Linked DNA regions of Ovis aries. The protein of the gene in region 3 interacts with the protein of the main gene of each other region in a pairwise test. Links are inferred from orthologs where the notes say so. Each region holds a gene or a part of one and is shown on either strand. Other genes may lie near its edges. The genes, in order: AP1M1, KIF13A, AP1B1 and AP1G1.

Region 1 (3,812 bases), on a different chromosome or scaffold from region 3:
TGGGACAACCAGGCCAGGACTCCTGACCCCTCATGGCTGAGAGTTCAGTCGCTCAGTCGTGTCCGATTCTTTGCTACCCTGTGGACTGTAGCCTGCCAAGCTCCCCTGTCCATGGGATTTCCCAGGCAAGAATACTGGAGTGGGTGGCCGTTTCCTCCTCCAGGGGATCTTCCTGACCCAGGGATCGAACCAGCATCTCCTGCATTGGCAGGTGGATTCTTTACCACTGCACCAGCAGGGCAGCCATTCCTTCCCCCGCTACAAGTCCCAGCTCTGGAGTCCGCTTCCAGGGCCAGAGCCTTTCCCTTCCAGGGGGAGACCTAGGGCCAGCTCGTCAGTCCCAGGCAGCCCTGTCGCCCCGTGCCAGCGCTCGCTCTTCCTCTCCCTCCTTCCTCCCCAAGGCCTAGTGTTCTTCTTTTCCTCGACGCAACTAGGCTTCTGTGCCTGGGAACTTGTAGCAGTTTCTCTTCATCCTCAGAATTAGAGGATGAATTTTCCCTAGCGGGGCTGGTGTGGGCAGCCCAGGAGGCTTAGAGGATAAGGTAAGTGTGAGTGTGTTGCAGGAGCCGAGGCCCAGGGTGGCCACAGACCGTGCAGGAAGGGACTCGTTGGCCAGGCCCTCAGCCTGGCATTCTCCAGGGGCAGCTGTTGGATGGACCTGCCAGGGCCTCCGCCTGACCATCTCCTCTGTGGTCTGCTCCCGCAGGGCGGCAAGGAGTACCTGATGCGGGCCCACTTTGGCCTGCCCAGCGTGGAGGCAGAGGACAAGGAGGGCAAGCCCCCGATCAGCGTCAAGTTCGAGATCCCCTACTTCACTACCTCTGGCATCCAGGCACGTGCAACCAGGGCAGCCGGGGCCCCGGGGCAGACATGGACAGGCCCAGCGGGGCCTCTCAGGGGCCAGGCACCAGTCCAGGCTCAGAGGGTTGAAGGTGACAGACACGAGTGCAGCCAGTTAGCGAAGGGTGCTAGCTGACTCGTCCCAGCACTCCAAGCTGCTCCCCAGCCCTGCCCATCTCCGTGGGCGCCCTGCCCATCTCCGTGGCCGCCCTGCCCGTCTCCGTGGCCGCCCTGCCCGTCTCCGTGGGCGCCCTGCCCGTCTCCGTGGGCGCCCTGCCCGTCTCCGTGGGCGCCCTGCCCGTCTCCGTGGGCAGCCTGGCCCTGATGGAAAGAGGCCTGCAGTGGTCTGCTCACACCTGACCTGTGCTCCAGGCTCAGAGATGCATTCAGCCCCCAAAACTAATGTCCACACACTTGCCGCTGTGGGGTCCATTTTCCTGGCACCTCCACGGAAGCCCTGTATGGGGCAGAAAACCCTGGGATTGACCCCTTCTCTAGGAATCTGCTAGAGGGTCGTGCCTGCGAGTGCACATCTGGCTCTTGCCGCACCTTCTAGAAGCATCTCCACCCTCCCCCGGCCTGAGTGTGAAATAGACTAATGTGCTTCGCCCTCTCCCTCGCCCTCTTGGTCTCAGCCCAGCCCCAGGAGGAGTGGCTGGGTGGGCAGCCAGGAGTGGGGCCGCGTGTGCATGCTTAGGGCCCTGATGCCTGTGCCGCAGGTGCGTTACCTGAAGATCATCGAGAAGAGTGGCTACCAGGCCTTACCGTGGGTTCGCTACATCACTCAGAACGGAGGTGCGTGCGACCCGCCCTAGGGGCAGGGGGGGATTGCTGAAAAGGCCCCTGGTGGGCGTGCCTCTGTCCCCAGGGTGGTGCTCAGGGAGCAACCTCAGGGTCAGGGCAGGTGGGGCGGCCCCTCCTCCAGGGTCAGAGCAGACAATGGACGCCCCCCTCCCTCTTTGTAGATTACCAGCTCCGGACCCAGTGAGCAGCCGTGGTGGCCCACCCTCCCAGCCCGGAGGCTCCCGGTGGAAGCGCCTGCCCAGCCTGCTGGAGGGAGGGGCTCCCCTGGACCCTGGCGCCCCTCCAGGCTCCACCCAGGAGCCCCTCCTCCCAGGTGCACCTGCTCTGCCGCCGCCACTCTCACCTCCCAAGTCCCCTTTTCCCAGAAGAGGCTCATCTTCAAGAGGTCTTGTCTCTCAGTCCCTGAGTCAGTTTAGGGAGAAGGAAAGGCATCTTTCCCTCCAGAGGTCAAATACAGCCTTCTGTGCTGTTCCGCTCCCGGTCACAGAAAGAGTGGGAAGCACCGCCCGGGCCGCGCTCTGGCCAGGCTGGCAGGGCTGCCCTCGTGCTGCCACTCTGTTGGATGCCGTGGGTTTATCGAGCATTCCTAGATTTTGTCTCCGGCCGTCGCTGTGTATGTGATCCTCGCTGTCTGTGCCTCCCTCCCCCGTCCTGAAGCTCTCAGGCAGCACTTAGCGAGGACAGGCTTCCCCTTCCTCGCCCTCCTCCCCAGTGAGGCTGACACCGGTTTGCCCTCTCAGCACCTGGCGTTTCGACTAGAGGCTCCTGGTCTGGAGCTTTGAATAGAGACGCCTTCTCAGGGCCAGCCCGTGCCACATGATGCTGTCACTCAGCCACATCAGTGTTTGTCCCGCCAGGGGAAGAGGGGTCCAGCGCGGGCCCCCAGCCTCAGAGGGTGGGGGTCCCAGGCCATCCCCATCTGTGCTTGGACACCGCCGCCCCCAACCCTGTCCATGTTTGTGCCATGAGTACATTAAACTCCATCGGTTAAACATGCCTTCCGTCTGGTACAGCGTTGTGCTGACTCCTGGGTGCCCAGGAGAGGGGTAGGCGCACACCAACCTGAGTGGGGCACCAGTCCCTGGGGCCCCTATGTCCCCTGGGGAAGACGGGACCAGGCAATGAGCAAGCAGAGCCATTGCCCAGGGGCCTCCCAGAGGGGCTGCAGAGGGGAGGGCTCACGGGCAAACGTTTCCGTCCCGTCTGAGATGACCGTCACAGCCCTCGGCCCTCGGGCCACCAGCAGCCTGCTCCCCTCCGCAGCCCAGTGGGCTTCCTCAAGAGTGTGGTCCTGCTGCCAGCAGCATCAGTGTCCCCCCGCACGTGCAGGCTCACAGGCGCCCTCCTTTACCCGCCGTGGCAGTCTCTGGAGGTGGGGCCAGGAGACCGGCTAACAGGCTCTGCATGTGATTCATACGTGCCCTGGAGTCTGAGGACCGCGGCCTGGCGCCCCCTCCACAGGGGGGTCTCGGCAGGGCCGTGGGCAGAAGGCAGCTTGTCTGCCCACTGCAGTCACAGGCCTGCCCCCTGCTGCCTGCAGGGGCTGTGTCTCCCTTTCCCTCTCCCGTATCACCCAGCCCCGCCTTGGAGGTCTATTGGGCACCAACCCAAGTGGAGTCTTGATCATCTACCACATGGCAGAAAGAACGCTGCCCTGGCCCAGGGCTCAGGCCAAAGCCCTTATAGGCACCCTGATGCCCCACCCCTCACTGCCATGCCCGCATCTGCAGCAAGCCCTGGCGGCCCCCTCCAGGAGACACTGGGGAGCCACAGCGTACAAAGAGACAGTGGCCAGAATTTCCCCAGATGAGTGAAAATCTTTAAATTCTCAGATTCAGGAAACCAGTGAGCCCAAATCAGGATCAATAAACCTAAGTCTATAACTAAAAAACATCACAGTCAAAACACAAATCATCAGACACTTAGTGAAGCGTATAAAAGCAATGCAAAGAAGGTTAAAAACACAGAACACAAAAAAAGAAGACAAAAACAGGCTGAGAGCTGGCTTCACGATGGCAACAACGCTCAGATTGCTCAGAGAAGATGACCAATTCTGTGCCCGGCTAAGCTGCAAAAGAACAAAACGAAACGTTCAGCAGTAACAGACCCTCAACAACGTGTGTACATCAGGGAGATTCAAAGGCTCCCCTGGAGGCTCGGTAGTAAAG
Region 2 (4,383 bases), on a different chromosome or scaffold from region 3:
CAAAGAACAGTATTTTTTAAACATCTGTTCTTTGGCAGAGTACTAATTCTGAGGAAAACATTGGAGGTAAGAGTATAATTTATTACTAAGTTTGTTTCCTACCCCAGATAATTAATTCTGGTCTGAGTTCAAAACCCGGCTCTGTTGCTTTGCTTATTAGCTGTGCCATCTTAGGTTGGCCACTTAACTTTTCTGAGCTCCAGTCATCTCCTCTTTAAAATGGGAATGCTGCCCACCCCTAGGTTTGTTGCAAGGCTTTCATGAGATGATGCATGCGAAGCATATAGTGCCTCTACTCTGAGACATAAGCCAACAGATAGCAGCATTATTATTGCTGTTGTGGTCATCATTTTTATTAAAACAGCTCACCTGTACTGTGCATATCTAGTGATTTTTAAAATTACTTTTACTCTGTTTTGTATTCTTTAACCTTTTTTAAGCTAAAGTGCTATTTTTTCCCCTTCATCTCATATAGAAAACCAGTAAAATATGAATGCTTATTTCACAAATTGATAGGGTCTTCTGGTCTAGTCAGTCGGTATCCATCATCAGGTGATGTGAAGATTCCTCTTAATTTCCTTCTCTTATCCCAGAAATTAAAATGAGACTCAATTTGTAGAAATAGGACACTGCACTGAATAATAGGCAAGTGCGTAAATCGCAGGCTAGTCTGAGAATACAAGTAAATCTCCTAGGTCTTATGTACTTCAAGGAAATATTTACCGTTATGGTAAGTTTCTTTGTTTACCATCCAGATTGTCTAACATACTGTTTCCCTATTACGGCCTCCTCACTTGGATGTGTCATAGCTTTCTCTTTTGTACACGTGGTCTGTGCTTTCCTTAGTTTTTGTCCACTGCATCCAGGTCATCAGCTGTTACCGAGCTAATGTCCTGGGACAACCAATTAGCTCTTTAGGATTGAGTCCTACCTACACCATAACCACCCCTAGTCATAGTCAGGGCTCCATTAAACAAGATCTGTTAGTATTTCTAATACCTGTTCACTGACATGTCTGTTGGTCATCTTTCAATCTGCAAAAGCAAAAAAGCAGAAGTAGACTTCTGTTTTTGTAAGTGAATTGCTTTCTTGGCTATTAACACCTGAGAAATTGGCAGACCATATACTCAATTCATATTTTCAAACAGATGCTGTGATCTGTAAGTTTCCTCCCACATTAGAGGAATTCAGGAGAAACAAATTTTTAGCCATATTGGAACTATAAGCCCTTTGTCATTGGGTTTGTCAGTGGGAACTACTATAAACCCTTTGTCAACTAAGACCAATGGTAAATGCACCTAAAAAGTGACGACATAAAATCAAATCTTGTGTGGCTCTGTCTTTGAAATCACCTTAGATTTCATCGAGTCTTTCTTCTCGGTGGATAGAATACCATCCCTTTCTCCTCTACCTTCTTCTTTTTGTAGTTGAGCCACCTATCTACACATCAGGGCGAGCTCATCAAATTGAAGAACGTAATAATAGATGTGAGGAGTGTTTCCATACAAGGTGTTTAATCTGAAATGTTAAGAAAAAGGAAATGGAGAGAATTCCACCTGACTGGGCCCGGCCGGCCGCTCACAGACAAGCGCGCTGAAGGGCTCCATCTGGGGGACGAGATGGTTCTTGTTAGAAGCCTCGCTGGGGGTTGGGGGGCGCTGCCTGTCTGAGTCACTGCTGAAGAGCCCCTTGCCTTGTCTCTTGGCTCACCAGACCCAGTTCAGAACGTGGTGCAGGTCCTGGAGAAACAGTACCTGGAAGAAAAGCGAAGCGCCCTCGAGGAGCAGCGACTCATGTACGAGCGGGAGCTGGAGCAGCTCCGCCAGCAGCTGTCCCCGGAGAGGCAGCCCCAGATCAGCGGCCCCGACCGCCTGGCCTACAGCAGCCAGACAGCGCAGCAGAAGGTGACCCAGTGGGCCGAGGAGAGGTAGGAAGGGGACCCGGGGGCCTGGGGCAAGGCCTCGGGGCCTCGGGGGAGGCCGTTGTAAGGCACGTCAAACGGGGACAAACCTAGCAAAGAGGGAAATCTTACTTCCATGTCTGAATTGTTAGAAGTCGCCTTGTCTTTCAAGGAAGTTCCCCCTGGAGAAGGAAATGGCACCCCGCTCCAGTCTTCTTGCCTGGAAAATCCCATGGATGGAGGAGCCCAGCGGGCTACAGTCCATGGGATCTGAAAGAGTCGGATACAACTGAGAGACTTCACTTTTTCACTTTCAAGTATATTTACTGTGACATCAGTTGTTAAAGATTACACCTGCCCCCTTACCCTTCAGTAAAAATGGTGCCAAGTTAGAATATCACAGTTTCGTTCTGAAGTAAAGAATAATTGAATAGTTCTAAAGCATAAAAGCATGCTTCCCTGGTGTCTTTGACGGTAAAGAATCCGCCTGCAATGCAGAATACCTGGGTTTGATCCCTGGGTCCAGAAGATCCTCTGGAGAAGGAAATGGCAACCCATTCCAGTATTCTTGCCTGAGAAATCCATGGACAGAGGAGCCTGGTGAGCTACAGTCCATGGGGTCCCAAAGAATTGGACATGACTGAGCGACTTTCACTCACTCAAAGCATAAAAAGCATTTCTTGTTCTGTTATTTCTCTTACTTTGGAATCAATGTAAATGCAGTTTTAATGTTAAGAAATCTGTGAATTTTTTAAATTTACAACTTTAAAATATTTGTATCAGAACTGAGGCAGCAGTGGAGGAAATGGTAACAACGGTAAAGATAGTAAATTATTACAAAGCTCTGTTGTATTCTTGCCACGGTCTAGGAATGATGCTTTTTTATGATCCCAACAGCACCAAGTCATGGGAAATATTATTTCAATCAATTGAAATACCCTATCAGTCATGCTTTCAGTAAATGAAAAGGCCAGGCTTTGTTGACAGTCCATTAATAACTCCTCTGTTGTAATAATAATAGCACCGGACATTTCTTAAGCATTTATTGCGTGTCGACACTCTATGCTACAGAAAATCCGAGTGTAACTTTGCAGTTGGCCCTTGATATCTACATTCCACATCCACAGATTCAACCAACCATGGGTCACAGAGAAAAAATTCCATATCTAAGCAGACCTGTGCGGTTCAAACTCATGTTGTTCAAGGGTCAGCTATACTCTTTCTTTTGTTCAGTGGGTAATTTTTGCATATTCTGTGATGGGCCATGTACTTGGCCAGGAATTAAGTGTAGTGACAAGCAAAAAAGACATGGCCCCTGCTCTAGGGGTGCTTACTAAAGCTTCATAGGGGAGATGGATGTTATTAGTCAAATAATTATACAAATAAGTGAAAAATTGTAACTATGATGAAGACTGAAAATGAAAGTCACTCAGTCATGTCTGACTCTTTGCGACCCCATGGAACAGACCATGGAATTCTCCAGGCCAGAATACTGGACTGGGTAGCCATTCCCTTCTCCAGGGGATCTTCCCAACCCAGGGATCGAACCCAGGTCTCCCGCATTGCAGGTAGATTCTTTACCAGCTGAGCCACCAGGGAAGCCCAAGACTACTGGAGTGAGTAGCCTATCTCTTCTCCAGCGGATCTTCCCATCCCAGGAATCGAACCAGGGTCTCCTGCATTGCAGGCGGATTCTTATCAGCTGAGCTACATGACAAAGACTACGGAGGCAAAAGATGTGGCTCCGGGAAAACATGTAATAGGGTTTGGATCTAGTTAGGATGTTAGAGACACATTTATCAAGAAGCACTATCATTTAGAGTTGAAAAGCAAACTTCTGCTGCCCCAGAAGTACATACTTCTCACATTTACCAAGTGAAGAAATCACATAAAACACTTTCTCCTTATTCTAGATCTCCTCCACTCTAAAGTTTACAAAAGTCATAATGATTTCTTTTTCCTAAAGGAATGTTTTATTGGGCTTTTTTTTTTTTTTTTTGCATTTTCATATCAAAATCTATTCTTTTTCAAATATTATAGAATTTAAAACATGGTTGGAAGTTAAGTTACCCCATACATTTGCTTCTCATCCCTGGTTACCAGTGGATAACCCATGGAACCCCAGTGGGAAGAGGGAAGGATAAGAGGTGAATTGGCAAAAATAGGTTGAAAGATAATTGTCTGAGAGGAGATTCTTAACTACTTTCTAACAGTATGACTCACTTGGAAAACGGGATTGCAGTTTTCTTCCGGATGTGCTCACTTCCTTCTCTGCTGCTTGCAGGGATGAACTCTTTCGCCAAAGTTTGGCAAAACTGCGGGAGCAGCTGGTGAAAGCCAACACCCTGGTGAGAGAGGCAAACTTCTTAGCCGAGGAGATGAGCAAGCTCACCGACTACCAGGTGACTCTGCAGATCCCTGCTGCGAACCTCAGTGCCAACAGGAAGGTAAGAATGCTCTCAAAGGGGAGGAGGGCAAGAGGT
Region 3 (5,068 bases):
GGAGAAGGGGACGGCAGAGGATGAGATGGTTGGATGGCATCACTGACTTGATGAACATGAGTCTGAGTGAACTCCGGGAGATGGTGATGGACAGGGAGGCCTGGCGTGCTGCGATTCATGGGATCGCAAAGAGTCGGACACGACTGAGCAACTGAACTGAACTGATGATATGTATTATATTATATATAACATATAATACAATTTTAAATATATAAATTAATATTATATACGCATATATAGATATATACATACATATATATGCATATAAAATACATGTTATATTAATATATTATAATATATTATATATAATGTTATATACTTTATATATTATATTATAATATATGATTATTATATATAAAATACATACAGACATATATATGCATCAGTTCAGTGTTTATATATAACACATATTATATATTTATATATTATATATTATATTTCTAATATATTATTTATATATTATATATAATATAGTATAATTTATAATACATAATATATATTGTACATAATGTAGAATAAATAAATGTATTATGTATTATAATTATATATAATATATAAGTAAATATATTTATATATACATAAATATATAAAATGTATAATATAATATTATACATTTTATAATATTAAAAGACTAGTGATAAAGTGCACAACTGTAGGGGACTGTTTCGGAGAACAGTGGTGCCGTTCATACTGCGCAATTCCATGCAGATATTGTAAAACACCAAGTAGAAATGTATTTATTGTTTTGGGAAACAATAATTCACCAATTCACCAATATCTTGGTGAATTAAAAATACTGAATGGATATATCGAGTCTGGAAGGATATTCACCAAAATCTTAAAAATTATTGTCTCAGGGTGGCAGGATTGCAGGATTTTTTACATAGCCTTTTGCTTACTCGTATATTTCCATAATGCAAATATTATTTTAGATGTTTTTAAGAAGATGATCAGAAATTATCTAGGAGGAGGAGAAAGTTAATAATACCAGAGCTGGGAGTGAGATACCTATAGCAACCCTGGCCTGGCCGACCCAGCAAAACGGGAAATGGAACTTTTAAGTTCTCCTTGGAGGTGTGAGGTTTACGCGGAATTCCCCGAAGGGCTGCTTCAAGCGGTAGGTTAGACTTACAGCTCTAGTTTAACTCTTCTCTTCACAGGTAAGTGATCTTGAGCAACACTGGCGCCTCTCAGAGACTGAGTTTTCCTGTTTGTAACACAGAAGCGAAGCTGACCTCAAAACAAAGAAAAATAGACCTCAAAGTCTCTATGATCTTCTCCATCTCCGTCATGTTATATAGGCTCAGTTCAGCTCAGTTCAGTCGCTCAGTCGTGTTCGACTCTTTGCGACCCCATGGACTGCAGCACGCCAGGCCTCCCTGTCCATCACCAACTCCCGGAGTTTACTCAAACTCATGTCCATTGAGTCGGTGATGCTATCCAACCATCTTGTGGTATTTTTTGCTTGGCGGAGCAGCAACGTGTCGAGGGCGGAGTTAACTCCGACGCCCCGCCCCCTGGCCCCGCCTCGCTGCCACCGCCCCCGCCCGGGTTGTACCCTTGACCCCGCCCCCAGCCTGTGCGTCCACCGGAAGTGCCCGCGCGCGGGCAGCTCACTTCCGCCTGGCAGGTGACAGCCGCGGGGCTCCGAGCGTCCGGCGGCGCGGGCGCACCGGGAGAGCGGGAGGACAAGGCCGCGGACATTTTCCTGTCGCGTCGAGCCGCGCCGTGGCGTCAGGAGCCTTTCGGACCTGCGGGTGAGGAAGCGGGGAGCCTGGCGAGGCCAGAGAAGAAGTGGGGCGGGGAGTCGGGAGTCTGAGGTGAGGGATTTCTGGGGTCAAAGGTCACGGAGAGTACAGGGCGCTGGAGGGTCTAGAGTGGCTTCCCAGGACGGGAGGAGGCAGAAGGGCTGCGGGTTCATTCATTCGCGCCCCCTTGGCCGCCGGCGTGCACCCCAGCCGTCCCAGGTCCGCAGTCCCTGCCGGGGCGCCCTCCCGTAGAGACTCCTAGACTTAGGCCCAGGGGAGCTTGTGCCTGGCCTGACAGGAAACTTCTCTTCGGGTCTTGGTTCCCCCTGCACACTCAGCGCCGTGGCTGTCCTGAGGCCTCCTTGTCGTTAAGGGCCTTATCTCTTTGCCAAGGTTCAAAAACAGAAAAAAAAATATGAAACGGCCTGGCGCCACCGCCTCTAGGGTGGGGTTAAACAGAGGATTGGTCTGTCCCTAGGCGCCTCACAGACGAGGTAACTGGGGACCCCTGTAATAACGCCAGAACTACTGATGGGAATGCTAGCTGCTGGTTATTGAGCTGTGTGCAGGCACCGTGCTTAGAATGCCGCATTTAAACTTCCCAGCAATCTTGGTGAGGTAGCTACTATTATTATCCCCATTTTATCCACGAAGAAACTGAGGCACAGAAAAGTTAAATCACACCTGTAAGGTCAATCGAGTAGTATGGATGAATGCCAGGGTTCCTACCTGGGCTCGCAGGGACCTGCAGCGTGCTGAGACTGAAGCAAGGTTGGCATTTAGGGGCTGTTTAATATCTTTAGCCGCCATTAAATTTATTTGCATCTATATAAAGATATATTTCCCTGGAGAAGGAAATGGCAACCCACTCCAGTATTCTTGCCTGGAGAATCCCATGGACAGCGGAGCCTGGTGGGCTGCAGTCCATGGGGTCGCAGAGTTGGACATGACTGAGCGACTGAACAATAGCATTTAGAGATGTAGCTTGCTTTCTTCTCATCTACCTTCCTAAGGAGCATTTGATTCCCTTTCTTTAGGATGAAATTAGGCCATTGCTATAACTGATTTCTGTTCAGGGTGAGAAGGGGCCTTTTTCCCAACTGTTGAGAACTGCGAGACATAAAACAGTCTAGCCATGCAATGAATTTAAGAATATGCTGCACCTCTCTTGAGAGTGGTCAAGCTGCATTCTTTTTCAAGTAAGGGGAGGAACCACATGACCCCTAGGGTATCTTTTGGCCCTAGGTTCTTGAAGAGCATTCCCAAGGCAAGGACCTGAGTCTCTGAGAAAAGTGCAGGTCCCATGCCTTCTTGACTGGAGAACACACATCTTGCCTGGGAGACAGTGAGGTGGTTTCATGGCCAGAGGATTAGGTCTTGTGAGTCTGAGCTTTACTCGGTTGCAGACATTCACGTGCTGCAGTTCGGCTTCAGTTTCCCTGATAGCAGCACAGACCTGCTGACTTCCTACACACTCCGGGGTTTTACAAGCCTTAGTGAACCTGTGAGGATTTCCACGCACTTATAAAGAAAGCTGAGGTATAAATATTACTGTGCAGTACCTGTTTTTAAACTCCACTGTCTGTTTTCCTAGTTCCATTGAATTCACAGAAACTTAATATTGTCACCTGATCCCCATCCTTCCAAGGGAGGATTTGAGATAAAGTGACTCGTCACAGATGGTAGGAACAGGAGCAGCGCTCAGAGTGTCTGGCTCCCTGTCCTGAGTTGAGCCCACCAGGCTCCTTCAACCCCTCAGGGCAGCTTCATGAAGAGTGGCTTCACTAGTGTTCAAAGACTCAGGTCCCTCAGACTTTGTATAAAGTTTAACTGTTGAGTGTAGTTTGAGTAGAGGCTTCACCTGAGTGACTTGGAGAGCTCAGTGGTGTGGTGGAAAGAGCCTTCCTTGTCCCCCCATCTGTCAGCCGTGGATTCTCCCCCCAGATCAGCAGCTTCTTGGTAGCGTGACCCAGAGCCACCTATCCCTCAGCTCTACAATAATACCACCACCTTCACCTCCCCCTCAGCAGTGACTCGTGTGGAAGCTGGACAAGGACTTTGTGCAGAGTCTGTTGTGGTGAGTGCCTTGACCCTAGGCAGTTGATGTTTCCTGGGGGCTGGTTTTGGGGGTGTTACTTCTCTCTGCAGAGTCCTTTGTGTACACAGGACCTCTCCCATCCTTCTTGTTTCACTTCCTTAAAGTGTTTCAGAACAAGTTCAATCTGTTGATCCTGCTAGCTCTGGGCTTGGACTTTCATCTTTCTCTAGTTATCCTTGAAGCTGTTGCATGACTTGCTTGCTTACTTCCCGAAAACCCCCATTCTTGGCACCAAAGTGTGATGTGCTAATGGTGAGCCAGCATGGCTTGGTTATGAGTTTTGAGCTCCAATGTGTTTCCAGAAATCAAAGGGGCTTCTGTTACTTGCAGGTATTTCTTTTTCTGAATAGGTCTTTTTGCCTAAGATAGATCACTGATAAATTTTCACAGCCCAGGAATGATTTTTGTGTTCTTTTTCTCTCCACACAGAGAGGAATGAACAGCTCCAGAGAGAAAATATTAATTAGACAAGTGGGGAATCTTTTAAAAATAATTCTACTTGAAGGGACTTCCCTGGTTGCCTAGTGGTCACGAATTTGCCTTGCAATGCAGGGGACTTGGGTTCGATCCCTGGTCAGGGAACTAAGATCCCACATGCCGCAGAGCAACCAGGCCCACACTCCACAACTAGAGAGTCCGTGGGTCGCAACAAAGGATCCCATGTGCTGCAGCTGAGACCCAGTACGACTAAATAAATACATATTTTTTAAACAGTTCTACTTGAGTGTCCATCCGCGGACCCTCCTTGCTCTTGGCTGAAGCTCGCATTTCTTGGCCTGGCCTGCACGGCCTTCTGAGCTCTAGCCCTGCTCGGCTCTCCTGCCTCGTCTCTCTAGCTGCCCACTCCAGCCTCTCCCTGAGTGCAGGCAGAGGCAGCTGCTCTGGGCTCCCGCCAGGCCAGCTGCTGGCCTGTGTGTCTCTGCTCTGCACTGGCCCCGCCTCCTGAGCGCAGGCTCCTGTGGCGCATGCGCCTTTTCCCAGACCACTGCTTGGTGCTCCCCCTCTGATCTGCTCCCCAACCCCAACCACCTGCAAGCCTGAGCTGGACGTCTTGAGGCCTTGGTCACAGTGTGTTGTCATTGTCTGTGTGCTTGGCTGTCTTCCAAGTGAGCAGCTCTTAATCCTTGGGTAGGACTTGTCTGTGTCTCCAGCACCTGGTGAAATATCTGGTGCATAGTAGGTGCTCAGTAAATGAGTGAGTAAGTGGGTATTGCACTGAACT
Region 4 (5,176 bases), on a different chromosome or scaffold from region 3:
GCTTCTATCACCAGTCACATCCACAGCTGGGTATTGTTTTTGCTTTGGCTCCATCCCTTCAGTCTTTCTAGAGTTATTTCTCCACTGATCTCCAGTAGCATATTGGGCACCTACTGACCTGGGGAGTTCCTCTTTCAGTATCCTATCATTTTGCCTTTTCATACTGTTCATGGGGTTCTCAAGGCAAGAATACTGAAGGGGTTTGCCATTCCCTTCTCCAGTGGACCATGCTCTGTCAGACCTCTACACCATGACCTGCCTGTCTTGGGTGGCCCCACACGGCATGGCTTAGTTTCACTGAGTTAGACAAGGCTGTGGTCCATGTGATTACATTGACTAGTTTTCTGTGATTATGGTTTCAGTGATGCCCTCTCAAAACACCTACCGTCTTACTTGGGTTTTCTTACCTTGGACTTGGGGTATCTCTTCACGGCTGTTCCAGCAAAGCACAGCCGCTACTGTGTGGATCACAATAAACTGTGGAAAATTCTGAAAGAGATGGGAATACCAGACCACTTGACCTGCCTCTTGAGAAACCTATATGCAGGTCAGGAAGCAACAGTTAGAACTGGACATGGAACAACAGACTGGTTCCAAATAGGAAAAGGAGTACATCAAGGCTGTATATTGTCACCCTGCTTATTTAACTTATATGCAGAGTACATCATGAGAAACTCTGGGCTGGAAGAAACACAAGCTGGAATCAAGATTGCCGGGAGAAATATCAATAACCTCAGACATGCAAATGACATCACCCTTATGGCAGAAGGTGAAAAGGAACTAAAAAGCTCTTGATGAAAGTGAAAGAGGAGAGTGAAAAGGTTGGCTTAATGCTCAACATTCAGAAAATGAAGATCGTGGCATCCGGTCCCATCACTTCATGGGAAATAGATGGGGAAACAGCGGAAACAGTGTCAGACTTTATTTTTGGGGGCTCCAAAATCACTGCAGATGTTGATTGCAGCCATGAAATTAAAAGACACTTACTCCTTGGAAGGAAAGTTATGACCAACCTAGACAACATATTAAAAAGCAGAGACATGACTTTGCCAACAAATGTCCATCTAGTCAAGGCTATGGTTTTTCCGGTGGTCATGTATGGATGTGAGAGTTGGACTGTGAAGAAAGCTGAGCACCAAAGAAGTGATGCTTTTGAACTGTGGTGTTGGAGAAGACTCTTGAAGTCCCTTGGACTGCAAGGAGATCCAACCAGTCCATTCTAAGGGAGATCAGCCCTGGGTGTTCTTTGGAAGGAATGATGTTAAAGCTGAAACTCTGGTACTTTGACCACCTCATGCGAAAAGTTGACTCATTGGAAAAGACTGATGCTGGGAGGGATTGGGAGCAGGAAGAGAAGGGGACGACAGAGGATGAGATGGCTGGATGGCATCACTGACTCCACGGACGTGAGTCTGAGTGAACTCCAGGAATTGGTGATGGACAGGGAGGCCTGGGGTGCTGCAATTCATGGGGTCACGGAGTCGGACACAACTGAGCGACTGAACTGAACACAAATTTTCTCTTTTTACAATGAGGAAACTGAGACCCAGAGAATCTAAATGTCTTGTTCAATGCCAAAGGTTGACAGGTGATAGTGTGCTTGAAATCCATTCTTCTGTGACATCCTCTATTTTTATAAAATGTGTTGCAAAGATGACATAAAACTTCAGAATCCAAGACTACTTGGAGCATGATCCTAAAGTTAACCTACACAGAAAGCTAAGGTCTGAAAAGTGATAGGTAAGAATTTGGGGTTCTGGTGGATCAGGACCAGCTCGGCCAGGCTCAGTATTCTCCGCCTCTACCTGCTTCTCCTCCCCATTTCCTCCGCTACCTTGCTAGCCCCACCCTTTTCAGGTGGCCCCGCCACTTCCTGGCAGCCCAGCTCCCACCCCACCGCAGGCGGAACCAATGTTCGTGGGCTCTGGGGTCCACCGGATCTTTCTCGCTCAGACTCTCCGCAGCGGTGACTCGGCAGCGGCGTCTCGCGTCATCAGTGACAGCCCCGATTCTTGCTACGCTTTGCGTCGCTCTTCCAGGAGCAGTCACCTCCTCCTTGGCAAATAGTCCTCGGTGGGGTCCGAATTCTTGGATAATAGGAGAGGGGAAGCAAGAGAAGTTGCAGTCTGGGAACGCGGGACCGACAAGCAGAGAGAGATAGGGCCCTAAGTTTCTGTGATAGTGTGCAAAGTTAGTTAAAAACTCCTTCCCACCTAAGATCCCTCCGCCTGCAGTAGCGGTGGTGAGGCCGAGGGAGCCGCCATTTTGGATGTTCGGTTCCTGCTGCCACTGCTGCCACCGCCCCCGGAGCTGCTGGTTTCATTCGAGGTTTCGGGCCGGTGAGTGTCAGTCGCGGCGCGAAGAGAATACTTCTTGTTTTACTCTTTGCCTGCCGGGAGCTCTCGGCCGGAAGTTTCCTGTCTATCCCAGGGGTCCGGTCCCAGATCGTGGAGGGTGAGAAGAGAGGACAGAGACTGGGCCAGGAGGGGCCGGGAGCACAAGGGTTGTTCATACTTCTTGAGGGCCAGCCCCGAGGCCTCAGACCCGGAGGCTCCGCACGCGGCTGCGTCTGTGTTATGGCGTTGCCCGGCCGGTACGGGCCTCCTTGCACCCATTGACTTTCTCAGGCTGCACTCCTCCTTTGAGGACTCATTGAGAGAGCCTGGGGTTAGCGGGGCGGGTCCCACCTCCGCGTGTCTTCTGTTTGCCACGTATCAGTGTTCTTGTATCTTGCATCCTAGTCAGGTCTTTCGTGAAACTCTCTTCTGTATTTCCAAATGCTCGGTTAGTTAATCGTTGTCTGCATCCGCATTGCCGTTCTCTTTGAACTGGACGTCGGCCTCGCCTCTCTCTAACCTTCCAACCAACTTCTTTCCCAATTTTCTGGGGTTCCCCCCGTCTTTTTCTTAAACTCACCTGTGAATGCATTGGTTACCCTTCTCTCAAAGTCCTAATCCTGCAGGCATCAGTTATTAATAATTCTCCCGATTTTCTTGGCGGCTTGACAGAGTCGGGACCGTTGGTTGTGTTTCTCAGTTAGGGTTTGGTGTAGGAGATTCGTCGAACCACTCGCTCAAGAGTGTGCTTCAACAGTACGTGTTTATAAAGCTGAGTAAAGGGTTTTTGGGGGGAAGGTGGTAGGAAGAGGCTGTCAAATATTTTCTCATTTGTATTTTCTCATCCCTTCTTGGGCTGAACACGTAGCTTCTGGGTACTTTTGGACACTTAACATATTTTTCTTAATGCTGTGTATCCCTGCCCAGGGCAGTCTGCCTCTGAAAAAGGATCTTAGTCTGACATTGGTAGAAGGGAAAGTAACCTTTTTTAGATACTGTAGGGATTAGTTAACAGAAGAGAGGAGTGAAGATTTCTTAGTGATTTTAACTTTCAAGTGGTTTGTACAGTAGTGTTCTTCGCTGATTAACTCCGGAAAAATACTTGGATTGACTTCTTGTATGTTATTTTTCTGGGGATAGTTGAATTTTAGATATTCACTTTTACTGTTCCCCATAATGCTTATCATACTGTATATGCTTTAACCTTTGCTTTAAAAATATAGACTCTCCAGACCCATAATTTCACCACTTTCATTCTATTCTTGAGGTATGTTTGCAGTATAGTATACTTGAATAAAAAGCATTTCACTGTAATTCACTGATTATTTCCTATAATTCAAGTTAGATGAGTGTGACTGAGTCACCTCTGTTTCACCTCAGCCTGGGTTTTCACATCTGCAAAAGAGAGATGTAAATTATTTGAGATGGTACCCTAGTGACTGCTGAAACTTAAATTTATAACTTGAACTTGACCAAATCTTTCAATACTTGAAATCCTAATTCCTGTATAAGTGCATTATTCTTATCAGGTTATTATCAGGTAGATAAATTCCTGTACTAGTCAAGAATGTTTCATTGTAAATAGTGTTCTTGGTATTTGTTTTCAGGAGACTTTCCAAAAATGTTTTATTTACTGTTTGTATATTTACTTTAAAGCCATGGAGTCTCATTTTGGTTTAAAGGGCTGTCTAACAAGATAAATGGAATCCTCACTCATATATGTGGGCTTCCCTGGTGCTCAGATGGTCAAGAATCTGCCCGCCATTCGGGAGACCTGGGTTCGATCCCTGGGTTGGGAAGATTCCTTGGAGGAGGAAATGGCAACCCACTCCAGTATTCTTGCCTTGGAGAATCCCCATGGGCAGAGGAGCCTGGTGGGTTGCAAAGAGTTGGACACGACTGAGTGACTAAACACAGCAGCACTCATATACTGAGTATACCCTTGTAGTTGCTACTGAAATGTTCATTTCTGAGTTACACTATCAAATACTCCCAATATTAAATATTGGGAGAGCTATCAGATGGGTGTTAACTTAGTTCATTTCAGGGTATTAAGTACTGCTATTTAAACGTCATTCATTCTTGGGTAGTTTGCATGCAGTTGGAGAAAGCATCCTTTTGCCTTGCAAATGATAAGTGTTTATTTTAGTGCACTTTCGAGTGATCATACTTGAATGTCTACTTGGTCTAAGGGATTGTTGGGGTTCCATACTTGAAATAAACATTGTTTAGGAAACCTTAATTTCTTTTGGAGCAGTTGCTTGTTCTTTGATTTGTTTCACTGACAGCAGTTCTAGATTTGAAGATGAATTTTAGAGTGAAAATATAAAGTACGAAAATTGTCAGCAATGTTTTGGTGATATTTCATCATACTATTTATTTTTAAAAGTGGTCTTGAGTCGAGATTAGTCGTGTGCAAAAACAAAAACTTATGTTTTTATGTGATTAGTAATAATACTATGCAGATTGAAAAAGTTGAAGGAATATTTTCCAAAAGATTATTTTTAATTAAAAAAATGGAATTGGGAAAACACATACCAAAACAGATTATCAAAATGCTTAATCTCCTTATTCGCATTTGATGAGGATTTAAAAATTTTGTGTATACAGCATGATGTAATTGATATCAAAACTTTAAAACTAATTTGGATTCAGCTTCAGAAAGTGTAAAACTATTACCTTTTTTCAACCTGCAGCAACTTGTTTTATCTGTTTTAGGTGCTTGTCTTTCAGTCTTCCTTTATGAATTGTTTCCAGTTCTTGATTTTGACTTTCATCCTTTTGTTACTTGTTCAGTTTCTTTCATGCAGGATGATGTTACAGTTGCTATGTGTTTGTTG

The links.
Region 1: the proteins of AP1B1 (region 3) and AP1M1 interact in a two-hybrid assay, tested with the Homo sapiens proteins (2 studies listed by BioGRID, with this or other methods). The link is inferred for Ovis aries from reciprocal best matches to the Homo sapiens genes AP1B1 and AP1M1.
Region 2: the proteins of AP1B1 (region 3) and KIF13A interact in binary tests that used the Homo sapiens proteins (3 or more experiments, as listed by UniProt). The link is inferred for Ovis aries from reciprocal best matches to the Homo sapiens genes AP1B1 and KIF13A.
Region 4: the proteins of AP1B1 (region 3) and AP1G1 interact in a two-hybrid assay, tested with the Homo sapiens proteins (2 studies listed by BioGRID, with this or other methods). The link is inferred for Ovis aries from reciprocal best matches to the Homo sapiens genes AP1B1 and AP1G1.

The regions. Positions count from the first base shown.
Region 1 is NC_056058.1:6,572,578-6,576,389, reverse strand, and holds the end of AP1M1 (AP-1 complex subunit mu-1), read left to right. Parts: intron 1-706; coding exon 707-832; intron 833-1,559; coding exon 1,560-1,635; intron 1,636-1,805; coding exon 1,806-1,828; 3' UTR 1,829-2,641; downstream 2,642-3,812. UniProt on the Homo sapiens protein: Subunit of clathrin-associated adaptor protein complex 1 that plays a role in protein sorting in the trans-Golgi network (TGN) and endosomes.
Region 2 is NC_056073.1:38,941,654-38,946,036, forward strand, and holds part of KIF13A (kinesin-like protein KIF13A), read left to right. Parts: intron 1-1,713; coding exon 1,714-1,927; intron 1,928-4,184; coding exon 4,185-4,347; intron 4,348-4,383. UniProt on the Homo sapiens protein: Plus end-directed microtubule-dependent motor protein involved in intracellular transport and regulating various processes such as mannose-6-phosphate receptor (M6PR) transport to the plasma membrane, endosomal sorting during melanosome biogenesis and cytokinesis.
Region 3 is NC_056070.1:68,659,233-68,664,300, reverse strand, and holds the start of AP1B1 (AP-1 complex subunit beta-1), read left to right. Parts: upstream 1-1,610; 5' UTR 1,611-1,757; exon of another isoform or gene 1,758-1,820; intron 1,821-3,775; 5' UTR 3,776-3,825; intron 3,826-5,068. UniProt on the Homo sapiens protein: Subunit of clathrin-associated adaptor protein complex 1 that plays a role in protein sorting in the late-Golgi/trans-Golgi network (TGN) and/or endosomes.
Region 4 is NC_056067.1:38,789,694-38,794,869, forward strand, and holds the start of AP1G1 (AP-1 complex subunit gamma-1), read left to right. Parts: upstream 1-2,019; 5' UTR 2,020-2,454; exon of another isoform or gene 2,455-5,176. UniProt on the Homo sapiens protein: Subunit of clathrin-associated adaptor protein complex 1 that plays a role in protein sorting in the late-Golgi/trans-Golgi network (TGN) and/or endosomes.